Danio rerio: one gene and its partner. The protein of the gene in region 1 interacts with the protein of each later gene in a pairwise test. Links are inferred from orthologs where the notes say so. Each region holds a gene or a part of one and is shown on either strand. Other genes may lie near its edges.

Evidence for each region.
Region 2: the proteins of prrc2b (region 1) and ythdf1 interact in a two-hybrid assay, tested with the Homo sapiens proteins (2 studies listed by BioGRID, with this or other methods). The link is inferred for Danio rerio from reciprocal best matches to the Homo sapiens genes PRRC2B and YTHDF1.

The regions. Positions count from the first base shown.
Region 1 is NC_133180.1:78,403,368-78,407,365, reverse strand, and holds part of prrc2b (protein PRRC2B), read left to right. Parts: intron 1-281; coding exon 282-343; intron 344-2,291; coding exon 2,292-3,381; intron 3,382-3,998.
Region 2 is NC_133183.1:25,000,785-25,004,782, forward strand, and holds part of ythdf1 (YTH domain-containing family protein 1), read left to right. Parts: intron 1-817; coding exon 818-2,458; intron 2,459-3,998.

The DNA of each region.
Region 1 (3,998 bases):
CTTTTCACAATGATTACAACAAACAAACATTGTCAATAATGGCAATATTTGATATTTTATAGACATTTATTTATATCAGGAGAGACTTTTAAAGGCTCATATATTTACAGCTTTTGTACAAATGTGTGTAAATATATGTATTTATTCAGTTTTTATATTATGGTAATATTAAACACTTTTGTTTAGTATAGAATAGGTTATATACAGCTTGTTTAAGCGTTATCTGTTTTTGCCATGAAATACTCAGAGAATATATGGAAATAAACTCTCTCTTCCTGCAGGTGGAGGATAAAGAGAATGAGAAGCCCAAAGCGGAGCCTGAGGAGAAGCCGGTCCCCTACAGGTACGCTTATGATGATGGATTTAAATGGTTCAGATCTTATCTTGAAGGTAGAGGTTACCATGTCAGTATAGGTGACCATAGGTCGAGGTGGACACGTGGAGTCCCTCAAGGCTCGATTCTGGCACCTCCTGCTGTTCAACCTTTACATGCTCCCTCTGAGCCAAATAATGAGACAGAACCAAATCTCTTACCACAGCTCTGCTGATGACACTCAGATCTACCTAGCCTTACTGCCTAATGACTACAGCCCCACTGGCACCCTCTGCCAGTGCATTGATGAAATTAACAGTTGGATGTGCCAAAACTGTCTTCAGTTAAACAAAGAGAAAACTGAAGCCATTGCGTTTGGGAACAGAGATGAGCTTCTCAAGGTGAATGCGTACCTTGGCTCTAAAGGTCAAACAGCAAATAATAAGGTCAAGAATCTTGGTGTGAGTCTGCAGTCAGATCAGAGTTTCAGTAGTCATGTCAGAGCAGTCAGTAAATCAGCACACTATCATCTCACACACACTGCTGGAGTCAGATGCTGTGTCTCCAGTGACGACTCGGTGATGCTTTTATCAGCAGCAGGGTGGATTACTGTCACTGGCCTTCCCAAACACACAGTCAAGACAGTTGCAGGTTATCCAGAACAGGATTCTGACCAGAAAGGGGAAATCAGCGCACATCACAGCTGTCCTCAGGTCTCTACACTGACTCCGTTACGTTCAGAATAGAGTTTACAGTATTATTACTGCTCTATACATCACTGAATGGCCTAGCAGCTCAATACATTACAGATATGCTGACTGAACACACACCTAACAGATCAGTCAGATCATCAGGATCATATACACTAGAAACTCCAAGAGTTCAGTCAGAGCAGGGTGAATGGGCCTTCAGCTGCTAACAGCGCCCCCTGCTGCTGGAATCAGCCTCCAGAAATGATCAGATGTGCTCCAACATTAGGCTCATTCACATCAGGACTGAACACACATCTGTAGCTGAGCCTTTACTGAATGAGCCCTGTGCTGTGGCTCACTCTTTTATAACCTGTTTAACACATTTAATCTGTTTTTAATTACTGTTATTATTTGCTTGTCTTTTTCATTCCTGTTTATGTAAAACACTACTAATTGCCACTGTGTATGAAATGTGCTATATTAATAAACTTGCCTTGCCTTGTTGCGATTTAATAGCTTAAGCTTTTATCATGATATACAGTATTATCACGGTATTGACACAGTCTGCCAGAATTTGTATAATTACAAAAAATATATTGTGTATTGTTAGTGTTATTGCATTTAATCAAGCAATTGTGACATAATGAGATTACAACTTTGTTTTAAATGCGTTATCATGCATTAAATAAGAAATTAACATCAGCTAAGATTAATAAAAGCTGTTGTAGTTTTAATGGGGATTTTAATGCTAACTATTGGAGCCTTATTATATAAAAATAGTTAACATTTAAAACCCTGTAAAATGGGGCTGTGTGCAATATAATGATATATATCATATGGACAAGATAAACCGTTTCATATTACGCTCTATCATTTATTCCATATTATTATTGTTTTATGGTAATACTTTTTCATAAGCACAATACTCAAACCGCAGAGCTGCAATCGTTTGTATTGTATTTAGCGATTATTTTTGTTGATTTATTATATTTTATTAATATTTATAGTAGATTTCTACAATTATAATCAAACATGAGTGAGGACATTTCAGAGTATACGCTTGATTTAAGCGTTCAATGATGCACTCGAATAAATTATGAAAAATCCTTCGCGTAAGCAGTGTATTTTGTGATATCGTTATACTAACGATAGACTGTTTAATTTGTCCCTATGTTGTATGTTGTAATATTGTACACAGCCCTATTATTCACAGTATTTTAAAGTGCTCATGATATCAATATATTTATTATTACGATTTATTGAATGTCAAACTCTGCCCCCTACAGGCTGGAGAAGGAGGTGATCACCAATGTGTACGACCTGAAGAAAGACGCTCCGCACGTTTCAAACAGACACTCCAGCAGCGTCGAAGACAAACAAGCAGACGCTCTGAAGATGGAGAAAACCAGCGCGTTATCTGAAGAGCTCCACAAGGAGAGCTGCTGGGAGAAATCCCAATCCGACTGCTCCGACAGCAGAGATCCGACCGCTCCGAGGCGCAACAACTGGATCTTCATTGATGAGGAGCAGGCGTTCGCTGGAGCACGCGGTCGAGGACGGGGACGTGGCTTTCGGGAGTTTAATTCTCGCGGAGGCGGAGCTCGTGGAGGACGCAGCGACACTAATAGAGGAGCGTACAATAATAACAACAACAACACGGGCGCTCAGAGACTCACACGAGGACGCGGAAACCGAGTGTTTAGAGGGGACGATCTGCAGAGGGGAAAACCGCGCAGACGAAACGTCAGCGAAACGCACAGCGAAACCTCCGAGTACGAAGAGCAGCCCAAACGTCCTCGGCAGAAGGTGTCGGAGAACGGCGGAGAAGCGTCAGGAGAGGTTAAAAAAGCCGACAGGGAATCCTGGAGATCCAATAAAGTCTACACTGACGATCAAAGCGAGAAACCCAAATCTAGAGTGTTCGGGCGTTCGTTCCCGCCGCGCCTCAATGCCGCGTATAATCGCGGATTCACCGGAACCAGAGATATTTCAACGTGGAGAGGAAGAGGAACGCAATTCGGGAGTTCCTCCAGTCAGGAAAACGGCTACAATTTCGTTGCGGACTCTTATTCGAAGCGCACCGAGCCGCTGAAGTATCCTGCTAAATTCACGGGCACGTTTGCGGAGAACGGCGTGGAGGATCGTGACGGAGGATATTATGTTGATGATAATCCGGATAATCGTCCGCTGAGGAGAAGGCGTCCACCACGGCAGGATAAACCTCCACGGTTCCGCCGTCTGCGTCAGGAGCGGGACGGAGCGGGAGCCTGGAGTAATGATGACTACGTGAACGGAGAGTTTCCCAATCAGTGGCCGAGCAGAGCGAAGAGTGCGGAGGAGCACTGGCAGAATCACTACCCTGGAGGACGCTCGCAGGTACGGCTGTGGCGGATTTAGATGTTCTTGTTGTGACTTATTTGTTAGTTTTTATCATGGTGGCCAGATTATTATAATATAGACCAAGGATCGAGGTTGGACCGAGTTTGGGCAGGACCGAGTTTGGGCAGCCCTGATATAGACTATAGGGATCCTCTGATTAATTGGCCAGATATCGGTATCAGCCGATAATCACATTTCATGACTCGATTGATCAGGCTGATCTCATGAGCCAATCACAAGTGTTTGTTTACAAGTTTACACGCAGGGGACGATGTATCCGGGTTAGGCGCTCAGCTCGAGCAGTGTTTCCAATTTGCACTATAACTCATTTCTTTACAATTCTTTAATCTGTTTTCTTTGTGTAAAGCTGCTTCTGACCATTACATGTATACAACATCCTTAATTTACTATCTTAGGTAAGGCAAGATCTCAAACTTAAAGGGTCACGAAACACCAAAACACATTTTTTGAGCTGTTGACAGTCGTATATGTGTCCCACACTGCTAAAAACACTATTAGGACACCTATATTTCACTAAAAAGTGTAAATTGGTTGTTTTTGCGTTATTTCAAGCAAATTCGTACTTCCTGTTTGAAACGAATTTTTGAAGCTGC
Region 2 (3,998 bases), on another chromosome or scaffold:
TCTCCCTGCTTTCGTGTGGGTTTACTACGGGTGCTCCGGTTTCCCCCACATTCCAAAGACATGCGGTACAGGTGAATTGGGTAGGCTAAATTGTCCGTAGTGTATGTGTGTGTGTGTGTGTGTGTGTGTGTGTGTGTGTGTGTGAATATGTGTGTGGATGTTTCCCAGAGATGGGTTGGGGCTGGAAGGGCATCCACTGCAAAAAAACTTGCTGGATAAGTTGGCTGTTCATTCCGCTGTGATGACCCCGCATTAATAAAGGGGCTAAGCTGACAAAAAAATTAATGAATATTTGAATCATTATAGCTAGGGATGTAATAAAAACAACATTTTAACTTCCGATACAATGTCGATATTGCAACCATCAGTACAAACCGATACCGATATAAATCCGATATCAGCACAAATTATGAATACTTTACTTTTACCCATTTCATTGAGTCGAATGTATGAAAGGCTAGATCAGGGATCACCAACCCTGTTCCTGGAGAGCTACCTTCCTGCAGAATTCAGTCCCAACCCTGATCAAACACACCTGAACCAATTAATAGTACCTAAAGCAGCACTTGATAATTACAAACAGGTGTGTTTGGTCAGGGTTGCAACTGAAATGCAACCCTGTTTATTCATTTGTAGGGGGGTGTGCTCGTATATGCTGAGCACTGTATGTTTATGAGAATTTAAAACATTGAGTGTTACTCAAATTTTATTTAGTGTCATATCTATTGTCCTTTATCCTGATTAATCGTCTAATGAAATGTTTGGTTGCATTTTTTGTTACTAATTCTAATGTCTGTATTTGTGGTATTTCCCCCAGAATAACAGTTACCAATCCATGACCGACCCATACCTGTCTAGCTACTACGCCCCCTCAATTGGGTTCCCGTACCCCCTCAGCGAGGCTCCCTGGTCCACAGGTGGAGACCCGCCGATCCCATACCTCACTCCGTATGCCCCCCTCAGCAATGGAGACCATCACTTCATGCATGACACTGTGTTTGGACAGCCGGGGGGTCTGGGCAGTAGCATTTATCCACACCGCTTTAACTTTTTCCCCGAAAACCCTGCGTTTTCTGCCTGGGGTACGAGTGGCTCCCAGGGCCAGCAGACTCAGAGTTCTGCATATGGGGGCAGCTACAGTTACCCGCCCAGTTCTTTAGGTGGAACCCTGGTGCCAGACGGGCAAACAGGCTTCCCTAGTGACACCCTGAATAAGGCACCAGGTATGAATAGCTTGGAGCAGGGCATGGTGGGGCTGAAGATCGGTGGTGATGTGACTGGAGGTGGTTCCGGAGTTAAGACGGTGGGCTCCGTGATTGGAGGAGGGCCGGTGGCTGCGGCGGTGGCCACGGGTAATGGTGGGACTCCTATTGGACTGCCGCCCCCTAAGCCCACATCTTGGGCAGCCATTGCTAGCAAACCGGCCAAGCCTCAGCAACTGAAGGTGAAGAGTAAGCCAGGGATGCCCATGGCTGGAGGCACCCTGCCTCCGCCGCCCATCAAACACAACATGGACATTGGCACTTGGGATAATAAGGGGCCTGTGACCAAAGTGGCATCATCATTGCCACCTCACCACCACCACCAGCAGCAGCCTCCCCTCCACTCCCAGGGTCACCTTCCACCTCACCCTCATGGACTGCCACCCCCACCTCAGCCCCCAATGCCGTCTGCACAATCACTTGCCCAGCAGATGGCCATGCAGGGCCCACCCCCTCCGCAGCCTTACCAGAACCACGCCCCTGCTCCTCCCCCGCAAACTCGGTGGGTTGCCCCACGCAATCGCAACCCTGGTTATGGTGGTGGAGGAAGCGTGGACAGCAGTGGCTCCTCGAGTGGTGGAGGGGTCGGCAATGGAGGCGGAGGTGGCCCACCGGGCTCCGGCGCCATCGAGTCCCATCCCGTCTTAGAAAAGCTGCGTGCGGCACACAGCTACAACCCCAAGGAGTTCGATTGGAACCTGAAAAATGGCCGGGTGTTCATCATTAAGAGCTACTCTGAGGACGACATCCATCGCTCCATCAAGTACTCCATCTGGTGCAGCACGGAACATGGAAACAAGCGGCTGGATTCTGCGTTTCGTGCCATCAACGGCAAAGGTCCTGTCTACCTGCTGTTCAGCGTCAACGGCAGCGGACACTTCTGTGGCGTGGCGGAGATGCGTTCGCCTGTTGACTACGGCACCAGTGCCGGTGTTTGGGCGCAGGACAAGTGGAAGGGCAAATTTGATGTGGACTGGCTGTTTGTTAAAGACGTGCCCAACAGTCAGCTCAGGCACATCCGCCTGGAGAACAATGACAACAAGCCCGTGACCAACTCGCGTGACACACAGGAGGTGCCTCTGGAAAAGGCCAAGCAGGTGCTGAAGATCATCGCTACCTACAAACACACAACCTCCATCTTCGATGACTTCTCACATTACGAGAAACGGCAGGAGGAGGAAGAGGTGGTAAGAAAGGTATTTTGCATGCAACGGTCTGTTCTGCTGATCTTCATTGCATTGTTGAAGCTTATGTGAAATCAACATTAACAATGTTTGTTTTGCTAGCATACATTATTATGCTTTATGTGAACAGTTAATCCGTGCAAGTTCATCTTCAAAGTCTGACCATTTGCTTCTGTCTTTGGACTAGCAGTCCTACACTGTTAGGATCACTCTTTACTAGGGCTGGGCGAAAAATTGATTTTATGAATTAACTTGAATGTGCAGTTTACATCGAGTTGTTGAAATGAAATCAGTTATCACTCTAGCTCATTCAACCCTCTCCTTTGGGTTTTCAGAGTTCCCCGTCAGTTTGCCATAAGAACACATTAACAACATGGCAGCGAGTAGGGAAGGACTTGGAGATATATTTCACTCTATGAAATGAAAAAGTATATGGCAATACAAGCACACCTGCCTAAAAATGGCATTATTCAGGGCTCTGTCTTGCATTCACTATGAAACACAGACCTTTGAACCTGCTCTCACACCACACATTGTGCTTCTTGTGGAAGTAATTGATATTTCTCAATAAGAAGTAATCTATTACAATTAATGCATAAGATGTGCATACGAATGCAACTGTTACCTATCTGATGTTGAAATTCAACGTTGCTGTTTTTGGGTTAATGACTCTACCCAGCCGCAGAGACGTTCATTACTAGGTATGGTAAATATCAACACTGTGACAAAACTCGCACAGTGCATCAGTCTACCAGAGGCAGTAGCCTGATGCAAATAAAAGCAATAAAACGTAACCCACTAGCCTAGCGTGAGTAATTTATATGAACTTATTTAACACAAAATAAGCATGAATAAACCTCCGAACCAACCATGAAACCTACCTGAACCTCTGTTTATGTTGAAATAAACAGTAGCACAATCACTATGAGTTTACCTTCTCTGTAATTTTATAACATTTTCAAATTTATATTATTATTAAAATGTATGCAGTCGTAAATAGATCTTGTTAAATTGGATTTTTAAATGACGCTAGCAAAGATTCTTGAGGGAGAGTTTTTTCTTTAGCATTTTTAAATATCCTATTATTATTATTATGTAATTATGATACGCGCAAGTAATTATATAGGTTAACAACTTTCAGCTCCACATTTTTTTAGTGGGGGAAAATTGTACATAAATCAAAAAAAAATTGTGTGTGGGGGAAAAGCATTTTTTTTAAAGGCCATATCACCCAGCTCTACTGTTCACCTTAGCCACATTCGTCTTACCGTTACTAGTAGTGAATGATGCACAAAAAAAACCTGTTATGTGATCAATATTCAATTTCTTTTGAATGTACATTAGGATGCTGAAATAAGTGTTAGCAACTAGAAATTGAAAAATAAAGCTTTGTTTTAAAATCTTTTAAAGCTTAGAGAAGCCTATGCAGCAGTAGTCAACTTTTTTGGCTTAAGATCCCTTACATTGGCTTGGCAGAAAGGCAAGATCTACCCATCAAAAAAAAAAAAAAACTAGAGAAAGCTATATTTCTCATTTGGATTTTCAGCTTGAG